3 linked regions of the Astyanax mexicanus genome follow. The protein of the gene in region 3 purifies or fractionates together with the protein of the main gene of each other region. This does not show direct contact. Links are inferred from orthologs where the notes say so. Each region holds a gene or a part of one and is shown on either strand. Other genes may lie near its edges. The genes, in order: ago1, ago3b and trinucleotide repeat-containing gene 6A protein.

Region 1 (7,643 bases), on a different chromosome or scaffold from region 3:
TGCAACTTCTAGCTGTGTGCATGTGTATACTGCATACTACATCAAACTATCTTACTGCATGATAGCTAAGACATAAAGTGTGACATATTTTGGTTGAATTTGACATAAACCAGAAGTAAATTGCTGTAAAAGTCAGTTGTTGAAACTGTGAAGTCTTTAGCTTTTTTTTTTTTTTTTTAAGTACGAAATTTAACTGGAATGAAGTCAACTTGACTGTGATGTTATTACCAATACCAATGACATCTGAGGTAAATTAAACTCAGTATTAATCCATCTGAATAGGGCTTTCATTAGCTGTTGTGCGTTGTTGTGCATTATGACATATAATTACATAACCAAGAGTATGACTTCTATTAGCTTTTTTTTCCATTTTAAATAAAAAACAACTGCAACACACAACACACACCAAAACATGTACCAATATTGCTTCTTTAGAAATAAAAAAAAATACTGAATTACCAATACCACTAAGTACAATTACTTTTTACACCAATTTTACCCAATGACAAAACAAATATAACAGAAAACAGTACCTGTATGATAGGTCACTGATAATTATGTGATCAAATTTTGGTTAATAACAATGTTATTCCTGGCCCTGCCTACCTGCATTTAGCAAAGCATGTTTTCTTTAATAAAGTACAACAGTTACTAGTTTGTATTATTTCAACTGTGGCTTTTTGGCTTTTCCAACTGAAACTAAACTCATGGGTATCATGTAAATGCCTTGCTACATTAGATTTCTTGGAGTGAATCAAAGCACACTGACAGAGAAGGGTCCGCACCCCATCCAATTACATCATGAAATTTACACTCTGACAGAGGTCAACTCTGAGCCCAAAGACAATTGTCATCAAAACCCCACAACCCCAACACAGCTGGTTATCAGTGTAGAGTTACCTCTGTCCCAATGATGCCCTCAAGCTGGCAATACAGACATCTCCACTAAGTTAGCAGACAAATATTCCAAGAAAGTCCAAGAAAGGCAATTTAAGAACAAGAAATATTAGACAGACCTGTCTACCAAAAGATCATCAGGATATTTGGTCAGACTCTGGTGTAGTGGGGCACTACTCTACTGTGCAGTGATATTTGCACAAATATGACTGTTATTGAACTATGTGAATCAGGAAACACTCCAATAATGACATAAACATGATTAAGGGCCTAAGAAACTTCTTTCTTGAGACCTCTATATTAATAGAATTAATATGACCCTTATTGAACTATGTGAATCAGAACACACAGTAATGATAACAACAACCACAACAGTAGGATTGAAGGACCAAGAAATGTCTTTAAGACCTCTAGCTTTAAAAGAATTAAACAAAAGGCATTTTAAGATCAAGAAAACTATTAGACAGACTTGTCTACCTAAAGATTTTCAAAATAACTGATCAGGCTTTAGTGTAGTGGTGCACTATTCTACTGTGCAGGGATATTTGCTCAAATATAACCATTATTGAACCATGTGAAGCAGAACACATGCAACAATAATAACAACATGATTAAAGACCCAAGAAACTTCTTTCGTGAGACTTATAGCTATAAAAGAATTAAACGAAAGGCATTTAAGACCACGAAAACTATTAGTCTTGTCTACCAAAAGATCTTCAGGGTAACTGATCAGACTCTGTTTTAGTGGTGCACTATTCTACTGTGCAGTGATATTAGCTTAAATATAACCGTTATTGAACCATGTGAAGCAGAACACATGCAATAACAATAACATGATTAAAGACCCAACAAACTTCTTTCGTGAGACTTCTAGCTATAAAAGAATTAAACGAAAGACAAATTAAGGCCAAGAAAACTATTAGACAGACTTCTGTACCAAAAGATCTTAAGGATATTTAATCAGACCAAAAAAAACTTTCAGACAAACTTGTCTAACAAGAAATCTTGAGGGTAATTAATCGGACTCTGGTGTTGTGGTGTGCCCTACTCTACTGTGTAGGGATATTTGCACAAATATGGCTGTTATTAAATCATGGGAAGCAGAACACACTCCAATAAAAACAACAACAAGCTTAAGAAACTTTCTTGAGCCCTTTAGCTATAAAGGAATCAAACAAACAGCATTTTAAGATCAAGTAAACTATTAGACAGACTTGTCTACCAAAAGATTTTCAAAATAACTGATCAGGCTTTGGTGTAGTGGTGCCCTACTCTACTTGATATTACATTGATATTGATATTTGCACAAATATGACTGTTATTGAACTTTGTGAAGTAGAACACACTCCAAAAAATTACGATTAAAAGCCCAAAACACTTATTTTATGAGACTTCTAGCTATAAAAGAATTAAAGGAAAGACAATCTAAGACCAAGAAAACTATTAGACAGACTTGTCTACCAAAAGATCTTCAGAATATTTTATTCTTGCGACTCTGTTGTAGTGGTGTGCACTATTCTACTCTGCAGTTGAACTATGTGAAGCAGAACACACTCTAATAAAAACATCATGATTGATGATGAAACTTCTTTTTTGAGACCTCTAACTATAAAAGAATTAATCAATCCATCAACAAGCTTACATAGTTAGGCACTAGTAAAACTGGGACTAGAACAGACTAAGAAAGGCTGACATTATTTATGAGTCAAGCAGCAAGAACCACACATCTGGGCTTGGGGGCTGATCAGAAAGGGCAAAGCCATAAATTTACCATAATCAATAATCATTGTGGGATGTTGGATGGGGGGTGGGGTTGGACCATCTGCATGTGGACAAGGCCTCTTCACTAAAGATTCCCACGACCCTACTGCCTCCTGACCCCTGCAACACATTCCCTTCCACCTACCATTCCCATCCCCAGATTTTTCAACCAATTTTTCAATGCTTGATCAAGCATGAGCCAAATGCAATTTTGCACAATATTCATATTTATTGAGAATAATGAAGGAAAGCACAAATTTTGGGGGGTTGCTCCACCTTGGATGGACCACCCATGCTTCTTAGATGGAGCTATAAGCTTCTACCAAGAAAACATACTTAAACAAACCCAATAATTATGAGAATTGATCAAAAATGAACATTTCCACCAAAAGCCAAGCCAAACCAGGCATCCACTCACCAGCGCCAGATGCTCCCGGCTCCATCCCATCCACTTAGGCGCGCCGTCTCAACGCAAGCCCCGGGGCTCCACCACCACCACCACGGCCGGCCCTCGCCTCTACAGCCTGCTTTCCCCGCCGTGGAAAGCGCCTCTTTCCTGGCTAAAAAAATAAAGAAAACCAACCCACCCCCCTGCCCCTTTTGCCCCCCCCTTGCCCCTACCCTCTACCCTAGCTGGAAGCCCACCCCCAGTCCCCCCGAGTCCTCCCCCCAGCTCCTGGACCCCGCAGAGCCGGGGAGACAATAGCAGCTCTGGCCGTGCTCCTCCGCTCCGCTCCGGTCTTTCCAGCGGGGCTGGCTGCGGCGCCAAGCCGGGGCTCCGCGCTCCAAGTCCCGCTTGGCCGGATTCCTCTCCCCGCTTTGGTTGTGGGTCTCCCTCCTCTTTTCTTTCCCTCCTTTCCCTTCGTTTCTCTCTCTCTCCCTCCCTCTCTCTCTCGGCGTGTCTGGGTCCTGCTCACCGTTCAAGCAGGATTCTCCAGAGTAGGAGCAGACCCCCCAAAAAAAACAAACAAAAAAAAAAATCCCACCACGGACAGCCGAGGAGAGAGGGCCGCCTTCTTCGCCTCCTCCTCCCGCTCACAGCGCCTCCTGTGCGGGGCAGCTGCTTTGTGCGGCCGCCCTCTAGCGAGCGGTGGTTGGGGACCGTTGGGGGGAAAGGTTCACACACTGCTTCACACTGCAATGAGCGTTGAACTCGTTAACCTCGAAAAATCTATTTATATATCCAAGATTTACTAGTATTCTTGATATACATGAATTATACTAAATGAGCTATTTACACAGGAGTGCAAAAGTTTGGGTTGAAAACAAAACTGCTTAAAGCATCACATTCTTTACTCAGATTAGGGTATTAGGGTGCCATTTGCTTGTTGTAACTCAAATTAAGCTTATTTGTAATATTTTTTTCAACTCTAATAACACATGTATTTAACTATTTAAAACATGTACTGGTAAAACTTTTTTTTTTCAGATTTACTTAATTGTTTACAAGGTTTCTAAGCTAAAGGTGATTACAAAACTTATGTGACATTTAAAAAGCATGTTTAAAAGCAAGTCCACTAATTCCTTTGATTCTCTCTCAAGAAAGATTATATATTAAAGAAATGGTTGACTGCATGTTCAAATAGATATTTTTTATGACAAAAAAATCAATCCTATTAATGGCACTGATTCCTATTACTTTTTTATGTTTTGAGTTATCATAGAATTAGCAAAAACAAGAAAAATAGCTAAATGGCGGCTATGCAAATAGCATAAGGACACTGAGCACATTTTAGTGATCTTCCCAAAATTTGTATTTTAAAAATAAACAAATAAGATTTAAGAATTATTTTAGATAACGGGACAGAGTGTTGAGATTGAGCTCCTTAGTCAAACAGAAATGACATACATTCGGTGGAATGGCCCATTAAATATTTTTGGTTTAAAAAATACTTCTGTAGACGTATTCTGACCCTAAACACTGCTCAAAATCTACTAAAACATTCATGCAGAGGATCAAGTACAATGTTCTGGAGTGATTATCTCAGTCCCCAGACATGAATACTATTAAAAATCTGTGCTGTGATTTAAAGCGAGCTGTTTATGATCAGAAACCATCAAACTTGACTGAACTGGAAATTATTTGTAAAGAAGAATGATCCAAAATACCTTCAGCCAGAAGCCAGACTCTTATTGGAAGATATAGGAAGTGTTTAGAGGCTGTTACTTCTGCAAAAGGAGGATTGTCTAAATATTGATGTATTTTTTCTGTTCAGGCCCAAATTTATGCACCTGCCTAATTTTGTTCAAAGATTTATTTCACACTTTCTGTAAATCCTATAAACTTAATTTCTCACCAGCCTGATCAGCATCACCAAGCTATTCCACCAGCCTGATCAGCTTCACCAAGCTATTCCACCAGCCTGATCAGCATCACCAAGCTATTCCACCAGCCTGACCAGCTATTCCACCAGCCTGATCAGCATCACCAAGCTATTCCACCAGCCTGATTAGCATCACCAAGCTATTCCACCAGCCTCATCAGCATCACCAAGCTATTCCACCAGCCTGATCCGCATCACCAAGCTATTCCACCAGCCTGATCAGCATCACCAGCTATTCCACCAGCCTGACCAGCTATTTCACCAGCCTGATCAGCATCACCAAGCTATTCCACCAGCCTGATCAGCATCACCAAGCTATTCCACCAGCCTGATCAGCATCATCAAGCTATTCCACCAGCCTGATCCGCATCACCAAGCTATTCCACCAGCCTGATCAGCATCACCAAGCTATTCCACCAGCCTGACCAGCTATTCCACCAGCCTGATCAGCATCACCAAGCTATTCCACCAGTCTGATCAGCATCACCAAGCTATTCCACCAGCCTGATCAGCATCACCAAGCTATTCCACCAGCCTGATCAGCATCATCAAGCTATTCCACCAGCCTGATCCGCATCACCAAGCTATTCCACCAGCCTGATCAGCATCACCAAGCTATTCCACCAGCCTGACCAGCTATTCCACCAGCCTGATCAGCATCACCAAGCTATTCCACCAGTCTGATCAGCATCACCAAGCTATTCCACCAGCCTGATCAGCATCACCAAGCTATTCCACCAGCCTCATCAGCATCACCAAGCTATTCCACCAGCCTGATTAGCATCACCAAGCTATTCCACCAGCCTCATCAGCATCACCAAGCTATTCCACCAGCCTCATCAGCATCACCAAGCTATTCCACCAGTCTGATCAGCATCACCAAGCTATTCCACCAGCCTGATTAGCATCACCAAGCTATTCCACCAGCCTCATCAGCATCACCAAGCTATTTCACCACAATGATCAGCATCACAAAGCTATTCCAACAGCCTGATCAGCTTCACCAAGCTATTCCACCAGCCTCATCAGCATCACCAAGCTATTTCACCAAAATGATCAGCATCACAAAGCTATTCCAACAGCCTGATCAGCTTCACCAAGCTATTCCACCAGTCTGATCAGCATCATCAAGCTGTTCCACCAGCCTGATCAGCACCACCAAGCTATTCCACCAGTCTAATCAGCATCATCAAGCTATTCCACCAGCCTGATCAGCATCACCAAGCTATTCCACCAGTCTGATCAGCATCTCCAAGCTATTCCACCTGCCTGATCAGAATCACCAAGCTATTCCACCAGCCTGATCAGCATCATCAAGCTATTCCATCAGCCTGATCAGCATCACCAAGCTATTCCACCAGCCTGATCAGCATCACCAAGCTATTCGAATTTTCAATTTTAGGGCACATAGCACAAAAAGTAAGAACATTTCTGTTTGGTAGATTATTTCAATTTGTAACAATGCTTCCTGACCATAATACCAATGAAAAAGTCTGTTAATTTCTCTTTTGAATTATGTCACCTTTAAAAGGAACATATATTCGACTGATGAGCAGCATAGCTGAGAATATGGGTTGTGCCCATGAAAAAATTGCCAAATCTTCTCTGTCATTGCCAAATAACTTATTATGCTGTTGCAATTAACACTTGTTTTTAGCTTCTGGTTCCTTCCAATTGGAAGCACCTGTGGGCATGGGCCATATGGGTTACAGTGGTCAGTAGGTGTCTGGCCTAAGAATTGGCATAATGCCACAGTTGACAGATCTTTATTAGCTACCTAGCTAAAACATTCCACACAATAAAGTAGTTAATGTTACCTAACCTAGCTGACTGTAAAAAAATAACTCAGCAAGGCAGATTATTGTAAGTCTTTGAAGTTGTCTGTTAGTTTAAACTATAGCTTGCTAGCTACAATTATCTCCTGTTTGCTACAGGTTTGCTTTTTAACTAGCTTGCATTAGCTAAGAAATCTAGCAATCTAGCTATCTACCTGATGGGTTTCTTAAACTGCAGTTAAGTTACCACTTGCCAAGATGTGACTATAGACACTATACACAAAAATAAGCAAAGAAGCATGTCTATGAGGCAGCTTCCCAGACAGTTCATATTCATAACCCCCCCTTCCATGATGAAAGTATGGAGGATTGCAAAGCATGTGCACAGTACAACATCTATGTAGTCTATGAAGTCATGTACTGGTGCTCACCACTTAGTATCTGGCGCTTACCACTTAGTATGTGGTACTCACCACTTAGTATGTGGTGCTCACCATTTAGTATTTGGTGCTCACCACTTAGTGTCTGGTGCTCACCACTTAATATCCGTTTTTCACCACTTAAGGCCAATTTATACTTCTGCATCAAACCTATGCCATGAGATTGGATGTGTTGGTTAAAGCTGCCCTGCCCTATAAAAACACACACCAGTTTTGAGTTTGCTGTATAAGAGGCATTGCTTGATTTGAAGCATGCCTCGCACAAAAGAGCTCTCAGAAGACCTACGTTCAAGAATTGTTGACCTACATGAAGCTGGAAAGGGTTACAAAATATCTCTAAAAGCCTTGATGTTCATGTGTCCACGGTAATACAGACAGTCTACAAATGGAGAAAGTTCAGCACTGTTGCTACTCTCCCTAGGCGTGGTAAAGGCCTGTAAAGATGA
Region 2 (7,563 bases), on a different chromosome or scaffold from region 3:
TCCATATACTGTCACATGACCACCTGTAACAAACAGTCACAAATTCACCCACACAAACACTTAAAACACGTCTGATCACAGAGCTAAAACCTTTGATTCACACAACCTGGTCTGGAATTTTGACTGATATATTGGAATAAGATGAGACAGGCCTGTCAGAAGAACTATTTTTGAGATGAACTGTGTTAAAAAAGAACAGTATAATTTTAAGACCATTTTATGCCACTGATGCATTGATTGAAGAACAGTAAAGCAATCACGTATTAAGAATATTGAGCCAATGGATATGGAATATAAATAATTTCCTAACTTTAACTAATTAATGTCCTATATAAATAAAACATAATTGAATTAATAAAACTGGGCCTCATTTATCAACCATCTCTGAGTAAAAGAACTGATGTGAGATCACCTCTCATCAACTGTCTAATAGAATTCAGTAAACTTTTGCTGATCCTGCATCAGCATTCTTACTCTGACAAGTTTGATAAACAGAGTTTAAAGAGTTAGCAAATCAGCTCATTCACATTAATGGGCTCTCCTTGCTAAAAAATGCATAATAAACAAAATTAGGGACAGAAAAATTACCATCCAGGTCATATTCATCCATATATTGTACAATACATTTATGACATTATGACGGTCATACAATGAGGTGGCCATATGGGTTGTGGTTTAACTGAGCTAAAATCAACCGTGTTTAATATTATCATAAGTGAACAATGTCAATGTCAACAACCAATAGGAGGGCTACGGAAAGCCACAAGGCAAGCGTAGGGAGGTTTGCGGAACATGAAATGGATGAGACTCCAGTGATGGCTCGGAAACCACAGTTCTCCTAGAGTATACAAAAGTAGGAGAAACTGGTGGAGCTGTGTAGTGAGCAAGAGTGTCTCTTTAACACATTTCCTACTTATAATAATAATATTAATAAAAATAGTAGTAAAACATAATAAAATAAACTCTGAAAGAATCTAGTTGCAGTCTTGCAAATAGTGACCCTTCAAGATCCCCAGTCTTTGCCATCTGTGACTAAAAAGTCTGTAACTTGTCTTTAGACGTGAGAGGGTGTCAGACTTTAGTCTATTAAAAGTGTTTTCAGAGTGTTTTTGAAGTCGTCTAGTGTATGGTTAGCATTACAAGCAGTGATGAAAAGATATAGATCACATTAAAGAAATTAAGAGTTAATTTGCACAAACAAATAGATAGATGCTATCCTTTAAACATAGCTTTATCCATTTTTGCAAATGAACTCTTCAAATATTAAGACAAGAAATTAGCAAAACCATACATCTGATTTTAACAGCAGGGAACTGACTGATCTTCTGGCACTGCTGACCTGTAAACCACGTGCAGACTAGACACTTACAGAAACCTAGAACCACACACTACTAATCTGATCATCTGTGAGCAACTGGTCACAGGTAATTCTTTACTGGTATATCAGTTTGGGTCTGATTTCTAATGTTTTCCAGTTAAACCAGTTGTGGGAAAGCAGTCACCAGTGACACAGCAACCAGTAACTCAGTCACCATGACAACGGGAGGCCTCCCCCACTCTCCCCTCTGTGACCACACACACTCTCGCGAGTTTGTATTACTATCTTTGTGGGGAAGGCTTATTGTAATGCTGCTGTATTGTTTTACTACATATGTCCCCACGACGTTAGAATTCCCGTGTGGGGCAGTTATTGGGCAATTGGCATTCAGAAAGTGATAAATACACAAAATCTCTCTCTCTTTCTTTTAATTTCTCTCTCTCTCACTTTTACACACACAGATACATAGGTTTGTATTACTATCGTTTTTGGGGAAGGCTTACTGTAATGCTGTGTTGTACTGCATTACTACAGGTGTCCCCCACGACTTTAGGATTCCTGTGCGTTCCTGTTAGTTATGGGGCGTCTGGTCCTCACAAAGTAATAAATACACACAATATCTCTCTCACTCACACACAAGCAGCTCACGCAGCAGCACCTGATCTCCACGCCACCTGTGCGTGACAGGCGAGTCGCAGCGCCGTGACGTGGAAACCGCGAGTGGGTAAAAACCCTCAAACCGCCTCCAATCGACCACCAGACAGCCGAGCCTGCATAAACCTCCAGAATAACGACTTCTAATCTACAACTAAACAACTTAAACAGCTGCTAAACGGCTTAAAACAACTGTTAGCTGGGTTAGTTAAGTTAGCGTTACTTAAGTTACAGGGAGCCGGGGGGTGTACTGTCGAGTTGTGCTACCCGTCGATTTGTGCTACTAAGCGGTTCTGTGCATGCGCTAAACTCTCGATTTAACTGTTTTCCTGTGTTTTTCCTGATATTTAAAAAAATCTCAGGTGCAGTGTACAATCTGGACTTACTGTCATCGTTAGCTCGAGTGTTACAACCGTGTAAAAATGTATGATAAAAATATAGATAAAAATGATTAAAAAAAAATGTATAAAACTGTTTCTGATCACTTATATTGCCTTAACTTTACCTTAATACACCGAGTAGGCTATTCAAATATCATACCGACACGTTTACTGCGAGCATGTTCTAATATTTCGTATTTTACCTTTAAATATACACTAGGGTAGCATAGTTTGACAAGGTTGCTAAAATCGACACAACACTGAGGGGTCGAGACACAGTGCATACGGACCCCTGAACGAGCCCCACAGTCCCCTCAGAAGACCCTCCTGTAACTATCTGACCTGACTAGTTAGTTAACCAGTTATTTCACCTGCTGGTTAACCCCACCCAGCCGGGTCCCCAGCTGGGGTCACGCTCCGGGAGAAGCTCGTAAACCTACCTGTAGTACCGATTTCCATTCATGAGGTCTCTGCCCGGATTCCAGTCAGCCGGCTTTCCAGAGCTGGTGCCCGGCTTACGGGTGGTGGTAGTAGTGGTGCTGTAGGGTCTCCGCGGAGCCGCTGTGGGGCCGCTGGAGCTGCTGGAGCTCGGCTAACGGCTACCTCTCTGTCCTCCTCGCCCCGGCCGCGGTCGCCGGTCTCCGCTGCGGCTGATGAGACCGTCCCGTCCCTGAGGGTCAGCTCGGCCTTAGCTTCATTCGGTTCTCGGTGTTTATCGTTAGTTAGGTTAAAGACAGCCTCCCCGCCGTGTCCTTCGCCTCCTTCAGTAGCTCCCTCCGTTCACCGGGACTCAGTAGCGTTAATTACTCCCAGCTGACAACCGAACCAACTCCTCGTAAAAACTCCCGAGAGCGAGAAACAGCTTTTCCCTTCTTCTCAACTCGAACCAGAGCAGCAGCTTCTGTCTGACACTCGATAAAACTCACTAAAACCTCCAACCTCCACTCAGCCACAGTTTATTACAGTCTAAAACCAGTTAAAATTCGTCCTTCTATAATAAAACACTCAGCACCGCAGCAGAGGTTCAGCTCCGGGCTGTTTTTCTCGCTGGTTCACCGGTTCGTCTCTCCGACTCTCTCCGCTCCTGTAACCGGTTCACCATCTCTCTCTCCACCGCCGGGCTGAGGGAGGGGGACCACAGGAAATACCAACGGCAGGAAGCGCCGTCACATCCTGCAACCATGTCATTCATTTCTGATCCACGTCTGAGACTTAATTCATTAAAGAACATAAATAATAATATAATTAAGTTTCTGAAATTCTGTTTTAGTCACAACAGAAAAACATTGAAGCTCAATTCGCTGCAATTTTATTTTATAACCACCTCCACTACCCAGCTTTCCTATAATAACGATTTTTTTCTTCAAATTTATTCATTTTTTCATTATAGATTAAAACATATTCTTCTTATTATTATTAATATTATTATTGTCTTAACCCTCAAAAGGCATGAAATATATTTTTGGAGAGAAAATAAAGTTTTGTTGTTTTTTTTGGTTGATAATTGATAACAAGCTCATTAGAAGAAAACACGTTTTAGTAAGCTTACAACAAGATTGTAAGAATAAAATAAGAATATAAACAACCAAATATACTTCTTTACGTATTATTGCGCGTATATAGATTTTTATTTATGACCCACTTGTACGCCTCATTGTTTTGGATATAGATATGCCTTGCAACATTATATTATAATACAAATAAAAAAAATATAATAATAAAAATAATATAAAATAAGGTATGGTATGGAATAGTGCAATAACCAAAATATGGTTTGATTCCTGTGGGAAACATTATGCCATATTGTTTTTTTATGTTAATTTAATGGTTAGTTTTGGCTTTATTTTAGTTTTCTTGTCTAATGTTAAAATGTTTTCTTTTCTTATTTAAAAATATATATATATTATTTATTTTGATTATTATTATTAAATTAAATGATTATTTTGCTATCTAACCTTAGTTATGCTTATTTTTTCAATGTTTTACCTTGCTTATTTTATTCCATGTTGTGTTTGTATGCGGTGGTTTCATATTATATTTAAATTTTTCTATTGTAAATGCTCAGCTGCATTGAAAATGTACCTCAGTGTACCTCAGAGTGAAAATACATGTATGTGATTGATTAATTGATTAATTAAATATAGAAGAAAGGAAAACACTCCAGGTAAAATCTGTAAAAGTCTCAAAAGTCTGGTGGCTGTTTTAGCACAGTGGTCTGAAGATGGCAGCATTGCGCTCTGGATTTAACTGAGCTCACCACAGAAGAAACTGAAGAAGCGCACCTTCAACATGTGTGTGTATGAAACGTTCAGCTGCGTTTAGAGTTTAGAGTTTAAATGCTCCTGGTTCTGTTTAAGCAGAACAGCGGTATACACCCTCATTATTTAGAGATAAAAAGTTAAATCGTTTATTTTGTTTGTGTTCCAGGGTTGAAACTGATATGAACTGAAGTAAAGACTGAAGAAGCGCACCTTCAACATGTGTGTGTATGAAACGTTCAGCTGCGTTTAGAGTTTAGAGTTTAAATGCTCCTGGTTCTGTTTAAGCAGAACAGCGGTATACACCCTCATTATTTAGAGATAAAAAGTTAAATCGTTTATTTTGTTTGTGTTCCAGGGTTGAAACTGATATGAACTGAAGTAAAGACTGGGTGGTGTTGAAGGCACCTCAGGGATCTGTTCCAGGGAACGTTACAGTGATTGGACGGGCTACAGTGTAATGTACTACAGTGTAATGTCTTTAAATGGCAGGTGAATAGTTTGCTCTTTATTCTGAAGTGTCAGTAGACATATTTATCAGTGGTATATTTAAACAAACAGTTATGAAACAGTGGAGCTTATAAACCTAGACTGTTATCTAGGTTATTTATTGCTATTTTGTACTTGGACTTGGAGTCTCATGTAAATAACCTTACTCAGCTGTAGACTGGTTCCTAGTTCAGAAGGATGGTATTGTTATTTTTTAATCACCAGTAGCTCTAACTCTGTTTAATTGTAGCTGGGATGGATAAAGTCATTAGCTGCTTCAGCAGGAGGCCGGACGCTGTGGTCAGACTGATCTGCTTCCCCTGGGCAGGTGGAGGCTCCATCCACTACGCACGCTGGGGGAGACTCCTCAACTCCTCTGTTGAAGGTACTTCTCCGCTACACTGACCTTTACTGTGTATTATTGTGCTGTATTTATATATATATATTGGCAACAAAATCAAAGTGAGATCATGTGGATTTATTTCTACAATGCTTAAATGATTTGAAGGACCATTAAGTATTATATTTTCAACATTAAATGATAAAATGATCAGGATGTTTTATCAGATATTAGATGCTTTTATAGCATTTTCTGGTGTTTGAAGGCCCCTCATCCACTGTTCCCAGCATTTCAATCTGTGAACTGTGAAATTTGTTTTACATTTCATAAGTAAGAAAAATAAGAAAAATGATCACAGTTCCTGCTTCTGTTTTATAGCTATAAAACAAAAAAAAATGTTTCTTTGGCACTGGTTTGTACACCACCATTCTTATTACTTAAGAAGAACATTATAAGTAAACATTGATTTTTTTTGTTACTTTACATATTTTTAAGATTGATGATAGAAAAACAACATTTAAACCATCTTTATTTAAATCACTCTCACATAAAGAGCCTCACCAGCTCTATTCCAGTTCTATGCCAGATTCAGCCCCTTTCAGAATGATCTGCTTAAGGGCTCTGTCACTTATGCAAATAGGCTGTTGTTTATATAAGATCTTAGAGTATTTAAAGATTTGTCTTTTTCTTATGCACTTTTCCACATTCTCAAAACTTTTTCTGAGATGGTGCTGTAAGCGTTTAATGTATGCAAATTAAATGGATATTAAAGTATGTTGATACATTATGTGTCTGCGCTCTGACAGTTGGTGCTTTTTGCTGCTTGTGTTATTGCTCCTCTTTTTGTTCTTTGTGATATGCAGTGTATTCAGTCAGACTGCCCGGCAGGGAGAGCCGAGCTAAAGAACCATTCTTCCAGCACATGCAGCAGATCCTCGATGAGGTCATCAGTGTGCTTTTGCCAGAACTCAAGGAGAAACCATTTGCTCTCTTTGGACACAGGTTGGTGCTAAAAAAGTTATATCTCACATCTACTTCACAAATGAATGTAAAGTTTTTTGTTCTCTGGGATCAAAAACAACATTTTGGTGCTAGCAAAAATGGAAACCAAATTTCCTATAGGAAATATTTTTCTTTCATAATTTGTTTGGGAAACTTTGTGTTGTTTGCATTATTTGGCAAAATGCAACAACACTGTTTATAATGTTTTCAACAGATTTCATCAATGATTTAAAAAAAGTTTTTTAAAAACGCATTAAATTTCATGTATTTTACTTCAGGCACTTTGTGGTTTCTCATCTCATTGTGGTTCCTTTTCCCCAGTTTTGGTGCTATGACCAGCTATGCCTTTGCCGAGTATGTGAAAAAAGTTCACAATCTTGAACCAGTCCATGTGTTTCTCTCTGGAGCTTCTGCGCCTTATGTAAGTACAGTTTGTTCACTGCAGTAGTGATTTCAAAGAGAACAGTGGCATAATATAAGTTATTGTAAAGTGGTATGACTTATCTGCTGGTAAATCATTACATGTTTTTTAATTAAAACATGTAAATGTGTAAAGAAACATTTACAATAACTTTTTAGCTAAAACAATTAATCCTCTCTGTCAGTCTGAAACCAGATTACAAGCCCCACGGAGAAGCCAACTGTCTGATGAAGAATTCCTTCAGTGGATGACCTCGATTGGAGGAACTCCTCCTGAAATATTGGCCAATCCTGAAGTGCTGAAGCTGTTCCTGCCAGCTTTGAAGGCGGACCTCGGTGTAGTGGAGAATTACAGGTTGGTGGAATGCAATTAACTGCATATGAGTTTTTATATAATTAATATATTTCTTGTAACACAATTTCACTAACACATTTTTAGTATTGTATTTTTTGCACTATAAGGTGCACCAGATTATAAGGCACACTATCAATAAATATCTATTTTCATACACAAGATGCACCAGATTATAAGGAGCATTTTAAGCAGCATTTCTTAGAAACAGGGGTGTCTCCACATTTCCCTTCTAATTCAGCAGGTCTTGCCGCTGGGTGGGGAGACCGGTAAAGCTATGATATGTAAAGTAAAAGAAACTGTAATTCTTAAAAAAAAAAACATTTTCATACGAGTCAGACAAGTCAAAC
Region 3 (7,590 bases):
AGAAATTTTTTTTTACCACACATTTAGCTTTAATATGTTTTCATATTTTAAACCGAGGGATCTATTTTGGGCTTTTATTGTAACTTATCAGAAAACCAAAGATTGTCTGACAAACAGAGGAAACAAGTTGTTAGATGGAAAGTGTAGAACTTTGTTATGACAAGAAGAAATGCTGCAGAACCTGTTCTGACTATTCTACAGCGACCTAATTTAATTTTACTGAAATTAATCCTGTACGGTTAAACCTGCTGTGAAGCATAAATCTTACATAATATATAAAATATATTAAACAGTACATCTCAGTATTCTACTAAAAAGAGAATGCACTAGAAGTCTCAGAAAAACAAAAATTATGACAGCAGATTATATTAACTTTGCTTAATCTGAAAAGCATGCCATGATTAAATATATAAACACTGGTGACATTTAGTATCATTACACATTATTGATTATGTCCCATACTGAAGCAGATGTGATGCTAGTTTACTTAAAATGTGTATCATATTAATTATACTGAACATTGTTGCTGAACCTTTTTTCACAATATTGTGGATCTATTACTGTACAACCAAATATTGTATTGCACAGTGTAATAAGCATTGTTTAAAGCAGCAGTCCTGAAGATTTTACATTGTTTACTTTATTTTATTTTTAAAATGTCTAAGCAGGGGAGATAGCAAAATATAATAAATTGCATCAATCTGCTTTTGCTACCATTTTGGCAATGCCAAATGCATTTATTTTAAAAACAGTGTGTCTGTTAGGTCCCGGGACATTTTTCTGGCTACAAGTCTTAACTTAAGCAAATGCAGTGCTGCTAATAAGGATAATACAAGAGCTCATCATTAGAGAAAATTTATATAGATTAGAACTAAAGCAAGCTGGTGAAATAAAGGAGGGCAACAGACTCCTAACCAATCCAAATCACCAGATTCATCCACTCTGAAAAGGGAATGCACCACAATGCACACTTCAAAAGTACTTTTTAGTATGCAATTAGAAACACACAAAAACTTACAGGTCACATCTTATATATGTTTTATAATAACCACTGTACTATATATAGTTCACGTTCTTGATAGCAGAAATGAAATCCTACTACTGCATGTCAATAACAAGTGTATTGTAAAAAATACATACTGCCAACCTTATTATATTGTTCTTTGGTGGTGATTGTCTAGGATTGGACAGCACTAACAGGCACCAAAGTTAATCAATGGCAGACATGGACATCAGTAAGTGAAGTGTTTAGACAGTGTCTACATGGGAAATACCACATTGATTTTTGTAAAATCATAAAATGAACCAAATTAAACCCCTAAGGTGGTTCAACGCGATTTCATAACCAGGAGTAGGAGAGAAAATCTACAGCTACACCTCCCCCACCACAGACAAACCACGTTAAACCTGCTAACCGCTTACAGTCGCACACAACTACACAACACCCGGCTTCCATCACGAAATAACTGATTTTACTCCTGTTCTCGCAAAAAAAATAAAAAAGTATAATATTGTGGGATGACAGTTTGAATGCTGGAACCCTTACTGTTAGCTCTGCAGTGGACAAGCATTTATTTAAACGTTTTTTTTTAGCTCGCCTAGCTAAACAACACCGAATTATAATTACACATACTCACTCTCCTACATGAAGCTTACATTATACAAGATAGTACGCTTAACTCTACAACCAACACAAAATAGCTAAACTAAAACATGAGGAAAAACACTAAGGGCTTTAGCTCAGAAGCTAATATCAGCTAGCCTAGCTGCTAAGCTAACTACGTAGCTATTTAACATACGACTAAACCTAATAAGCCCACATACTATTTGCCTCAGTATCACATTTATTCGTTTATACTTAGTTAACTATTTATTTATCGGCATGCTTATGTAGATATCTGTGCTGTCAGCTACGTAACGCTAGCTAACCTGCATTAACCAAATAAAATGGCTTTCGGGGTCTGCGAAACTCTGATCTGATCTGTTGAAAACTGAGACCTAGGTTAGGTTAGTCCGCTAAGCTAGCTATTAAACAATGACCTGCTCTGTTTGTTTATAGCTCGTTAACTAGCTTGGAGCCATATATAATTTTATAGATTTAACATCGCTAAGCTAGGTTAGCGGTATAAACATAAGAATCTTTTAACACACTTCGCGTTCTTAAAAGCAAGTTATATAATAAACATATTTACAAAAGTAAGCTAATCAGTTAGCAAGGTTAACTAGTTAGTCAGTATTAAATTTAAGACCACAAAATACAGCCTTAGCAAACAAGATAACCACTTCGCATTTAGAGTCATTATTAAATAACTAGCTAAAGACTTATTTGTATCACTTATAAACTATTGTGTAGCTAGCTTAGATTTGTAACGAGGCAGAAACTCAAAAACATAACTGGCTAACGCTAGCTAGCTAAAGGTTAACGTTAGGTCTATTATTTATAACTCAAATCTTACGCCATTTTGTTCTGTAACATAAGCATGTAGTTGGACGAATATTTAAACTCAAATGTAAGAGCATTATCCAACGAATAATCAATTAGCTTTTTAATATCCAACAGCGTTAGAGGTTACAGCTGGGCTTCGCTTTTATAATTTTTCCGGTCCACCTTAAACGGAAAAGCAGCTCGCTAGCTTCATACGGGCACTTCAGACTATATAGTGTATCAGTGCCGCACCATTTAAGGTGGAACTGAACAACTCTAATAGGAGGTCCAACTTCGGCGTCGTAGTTCTGGCTTTTGAAGCCGCTTGACTAAGACGTTTCTGCAACACGCCGCCCGCAAAACACACATTACCCAAATGCACCGCGCTGTTTATGTTTATCACGGTTTTAACGGTCCCTGTAAACAACAGACGCCACCACGCGCAGCTCCACTCGAGCCCTTCGACTCCGCCGCGCGCTACATTACAGCAAACTGCGCCAAACAGCGAAAAGCGCGTTCAGCCTCACCTGTGTAGATTAAAGTGCGATGAGTAAAGTGTGGTGAAAGGCCTTCAGTGGATCAGCGATGAGTGTATTATTGATCTTTAAACCCGAGCTCGCGCTTAGCTCTCCTGCAGGATCACCGCTCCGCCCGCGCGGACATTTTCTCTCTCACTGCGCGCTCCCGCAGGAAGAGCTCAGCGGCGCGCGCGGCTGCCACTTCCGCTACGAAATGGCGCCACGGCGCAGAGCAGCAGGCGCATATCAGGAACATAAACAAACAAAATCCAGTTCAGCTCAATAATAACAGCTATACAACTAAAAAAACAAACAACTTAACACTAGTGATCTATCTACAGCGGTATGAAAAAGTTTGTGCACCTTCATTTTGATGATTTTCATTTTTAAATCATTGGTGTTCAGATCAGCAATTTCAGTTAAATTCATCATATAGGAGACAAACACAGTGATATTTAAGTTTATAGGATTTACAAAAAAAAATTACAATAATTATTTAAACAAAATAAGGCAGGTGCATACATTTGGGCACCCTTGTTGTTTTAGTGATTTGAATAGCTTTATCTCTAATAATTGAAACACTTGGCCAATTGCAAGTTTTTTTCCTTTTTGCATCTTCTCTGAAAAGTGGAAAAATGGGAGCCTCAAAACAACTCTTAAATGACCTGAAAACAAAGATTGTTCAACATCATGGTTTAGGGGAAGCATACAAAAAGCTCTGTCAGAGATTTCAGCTGTCAGTTACCCCTGTGAGGAACATAGTGAGGAAATGGAAGACCACACGCACAGTTCTAGTTAAGGCCTGAAGTGGCAGACCAAGAAACATCTCAGATAAGCAGAAGGATGTTGAGAATAGTCATAGTCAATCCACAGACCAGCTCCAGAGATTTCATTCTGTGGGGCAGTGTGATCAGTGCAGGTACTGGGAATCTTGTTAAAGTTGAGGGGTGCATTATTCCAGTCAATATCAGCAGATTATTAAGAACAATGTTCACAGATCAGGAACGAAGCTGAAGCTGTGCTGGGGCTGGATACTTCAACTTGACAACGACCCTAAACACTGCTCAAAGTCTATTAAAGCACTCATACAGAGGAACAAGTAGAACTTTTTGGATAACTCAAAGATCTTCAAATTGGATATTTACTGCACGGGTGATTATGTTTCAGCTGACAAGTTATTGAATTCTAACTAATGCAATGAGAAGCTTTTCATTTGTTAAACTCATTTTGTGTCCTTGAAAATATGTTTGTCTGTTTCAGAAGAGTCAAATTATCCGAAAATATTAAATTATGGTAATTGGCGATCACTTTAACTTTGTGGTACAAAAACAATACCAGAGATATGTTTAAAAGTGAAGGTAAGAGCATTTTCACAAGCACAATGTGAAGGGAATTCAAGGGATTGGGGCTAATCAGCTGTGTAGCTTTAAGATAACCACTTACCAGTGAGACTAATCGACAAAAACAACTTCAATTTGCTAAGGAGCATAAAGATTGGAATCTGGAGCGATGGAAGGAGAACATGTGCTTTGAGGAATCATGATTTACCCTGTTCTAGAGTGATGGGTGCATCAGGGTTCGGAAAGAGGTGGCTAAAGTAATGCACCCATCATAGTGCATGTCACAGAATCCAGACCTGAACCTTATTGAGAATTTTTGGGATGTGCCGGAGAAGACTTTGCACAGTGGTCAAAATCTCCCATCATCAATACCAGATCTTGGGGAAAACTATTGTTGTAACATTGCAGAGGTGTGTGGAAAAAATGCGATAGAGTACAGTATGCATACTGTAATTTAATCAAAGCTAAAGGAATCCATGTATTTATTTATCTCAGTCCATCTCTTTGCAAGCTGTTTGTTTTTTTTATTTATAGTGATCAAGCTACATTTCAGCAAATTACAAAAGCAGTATGAATGTTTCAAACAGCATATAGATAAATTCAACAGAGTAAATAAATGGCAGCTCTGAAACAAAATGTGCATTCATACTCTGACTGCTGTGTGAAGCATTTTAGACAAAATTCACTTTTAAAATGATTTCAGAAGCTGTGTATAGATACCCTCTTCTTTAAACAAAAGTTCCCTCAGGTATTTCTGCTCCCAGCTGCCTGTGATGCTGTATCTGTTTGCTTACATCCGTAAATGTGTTTAGCTCTGTGCAGCAGTCTGCTATGAATGCTGGCCAAATAGAAAGAGTTTAGCCGTCTGTGGACTGAGAAAACCCTAAACAAATCAGGAACAATGTAAACACTGTCCGGTCTGCCCGCAGGAATGTGCCTACGCTTTCACTTTGTACACAAAGCACCAGCACACGGGCAAAAACTGACCTGCAGCCTCCACTCTGGGGGCCTTTTAAAGACAGTCATTCTGCCTCATTGGACACTGCACAAACACACGCACACACAAATACACCATACAATTCAAGCTAATTACTGTCAAATATTTCCTTATTGGAAACCCATTTAATATAGTCATTTAGCCTAAACTATACAGCCTACAGTAGCCTACATATACAGCCTTAGCCATTGAACCTATCGCAGATTAGTCCCAGCAATTTGGCCTACAACATTTTATTCCTGTGTGATTAAAGCTCATACTGTAGCACATAAGAGTAGCAGAATAAAATGAACAAGAACATATTTATTTACCACAGAATGTGATAGAGGCGAGTTTTGAAAAGCCCATTCATTTTGCTATAGACAAATACAGCTTAGACACAAACCCCCAAGTGTTGGAAATTCCCTGGGAGCAGGTAAACTACATAGACCATAATTCTTTGCAGCAGGATAAGGCGGGGCTTAGAGGTTAAAATGGCACTGTCGGCCATTTTTTTATTTCTTTGTTTGGCATGGTCTGAGAATTTGAACCTCTTTTGGATTGTGGACTGAGCTTCCAATGGATGTGTGTTTGTGTAAGTTTTCTGATTTATTACTTAATTCATTTATGTTAACTTGTCCAATTTGATTGTGATTGGGTTTATTGTTTGCTCACTTGGTTTGTTGTTCCTTTTGTTGCACTATTTGTATTGTTTTACTGATCCTTGTATTTTGTTTATTTGTAGATAAAACCATCCATCCTGTGTATCCATCCTGTAGATACAACCATCCTGTATAATCTCTCCATTCTCCCTACATCATCTTCCTTCCTCCATCCATCCTTTCCTCAGCCATGCATTAACTGTCCATTCATGCACCTGCTCTGCCTCATTGTGAAATATGCTGTGACTCTGAGAATAAACTGCATCAGTTGAAGTCTGTTCATCCTCCTGTGTTTTAATGGACACACCATCACGCCAGCCACCCTTCCACTAAATGCAATCCAACTAAACTTTACATGGTGCCGAAACCCGGGATTGGCAGTTATGATGGATACAGATCAAGAGAACAGACGATCCACACGGCAGAGAAGGCCTCCAACCCATCTTCAGCAATATCACGTCGAGTCAGTGGGCTTTGGAAAGCCACAGGAACCCTGCACCACTAATCCAAGGCCTTTAGCTACCTATCTTAAACCTGGAGGTAGAGGGATCCCGAATCCTGCCTCAGCACAACAACAATCTGACCTCAAGGAACTACATACTAGGTATGCAGCCTGAAAGAGACAATAAAACTACTTGATCGTATGGGATCCCTGCATATTTGTAACAGGGACTCTGAATCAGTAAATGTTTCTGAAGATTGCATTAGCTCTGATGATGACTTTGATGTTGATTACTCCCAACCTGTACAAAGACCTCACAGTTGTGTAGAATTTCAATGTTCTATACCTGAAGAGAACAGAGCTAGAAGTTCATGTTCAGCCCCATCTAGATTAGCTTTACCCCATCCTGCCTCCCAATCTAGTTCTTTACAGCCTCAGCCTTTGATTGCACCCCAGTCTAGTGTTGTGCCTACTCATAATCCCCAGCCTAGGCCTCAGCCCCTTCAACCTTATCCTGCCTTTCCATCTAGTTCTGTACAGCCTCAGGTTTCCTCTCAGTCTGGTGTTTTTCCTCCTCATATCACTCAGTCTAGCTCCCAGTCCAGCTCCCAGCCTCCTCAGCCTTATCCTGCCTCCCCATCTAGTTATTTACAGTCTCAGCCCCAGGCCCAACTCTATTATCTGTGCATGCAAGATCTCAATCCTGCCCATACTGTAAAAGTCAGGAGCATAGCTTGACATACTGTTCCCAAGTTGGACTACTAAGCCCAAGTAATTTGAAGGAATGGATTAGAAGCAACGGATTATGTTGGCGATGTGCAAAACACCATCAAGCTGAGGAATGTAACCTTAAGAAACCCTGCCCAAAATGTCAGGGTCCACACCTTGGTGTTCTTCATGAAGCAAACAGGAAAACGGATGATTTAGTCCCTCAGCATTCGTCCTCCAAGGTACTCTACCTGAACCCATCAAGCTATTCCCCCAAAGTGCTTCTGAAGATGGTAAAGGTCATTCTGAGTTACAAAGGTCAGTCTTGCCATGCATATGCTCTTCTTGATGATGGTTCAGAACGAACATTGATCTTGTCACAAGCTGTAGACACATTACAACTTGAAGGAACTCCTGAAGTTTTGGAGCTTCACACCATTCGGCAAGGTATTGAACAAATACAAGGCTCATCTGTAACATTCAATATTGCAGCAGCAGATAATCCATCTGAGCAATATG

Evidence for each region.
Region 1: the proteins of trinucleotide repeat-containing gene 6A protein (region 3) and ago1 purify together in Homo sapiens (affinity purification with mass spectrometry; 10 studies listed by BioGRID and IntAct, with this or other methods). This does not show direct contact. The link is inferred for Astyanax mexicanus from reciprocal best matches to the Homo sapiens genes TNRC6A and AGO1.
Region 2: the proteins of trinucleotide repeat-containing gene 6A protein (region 3) and ago3b purify together in Homo sapiens (affinity purification with mass spectrometry; 7 studies listed by BioGRID and IntAct, with this or other methods). This does not show direct contact. The link is inferred for Astyanax mexicanus from reciprocal best matches to the Homo sapiens genes TNRC6A and AGO3.

The regions. Positions count from the first base shown.
Region 1 is NC_064408.1:119,808,451-119,816,093, reverse strand, and holds the start of ago1 (protein argonaute-1), read right to left. Parts: upstream 3,228-7,643; 5' UTR 3,102-3,227; coding exon 3,077-3,101; intron 1-3,076.
Region 2 is NC_064410.1:30,428,715-30,436,277, reverse strand, and holds the start of ago3b (protein argonaute-3), read right to left. Parts: upstream 3,485-7,563; 5' UTR 2,812-3,484; coding exon 2,793-2,811; intron 1-2,792. Other genes in the region: olah (S-acyl fatty acid synthase thioesterase, medium chain), read left to right, coding at 5,096-5,102, 5,350-5,484, 6,303-6,441, 6,763-6,862, 7,047-7,216.
Region 3 is NC_064426.1:13,559,447-13,567,036, reverse strand, and holds the start of trinucleotide repeat-containing gene 6A protein, read right to left. Parts: upstream 3,115-7,590; 5' UTR 2,953-3,114; intron 1-2,952.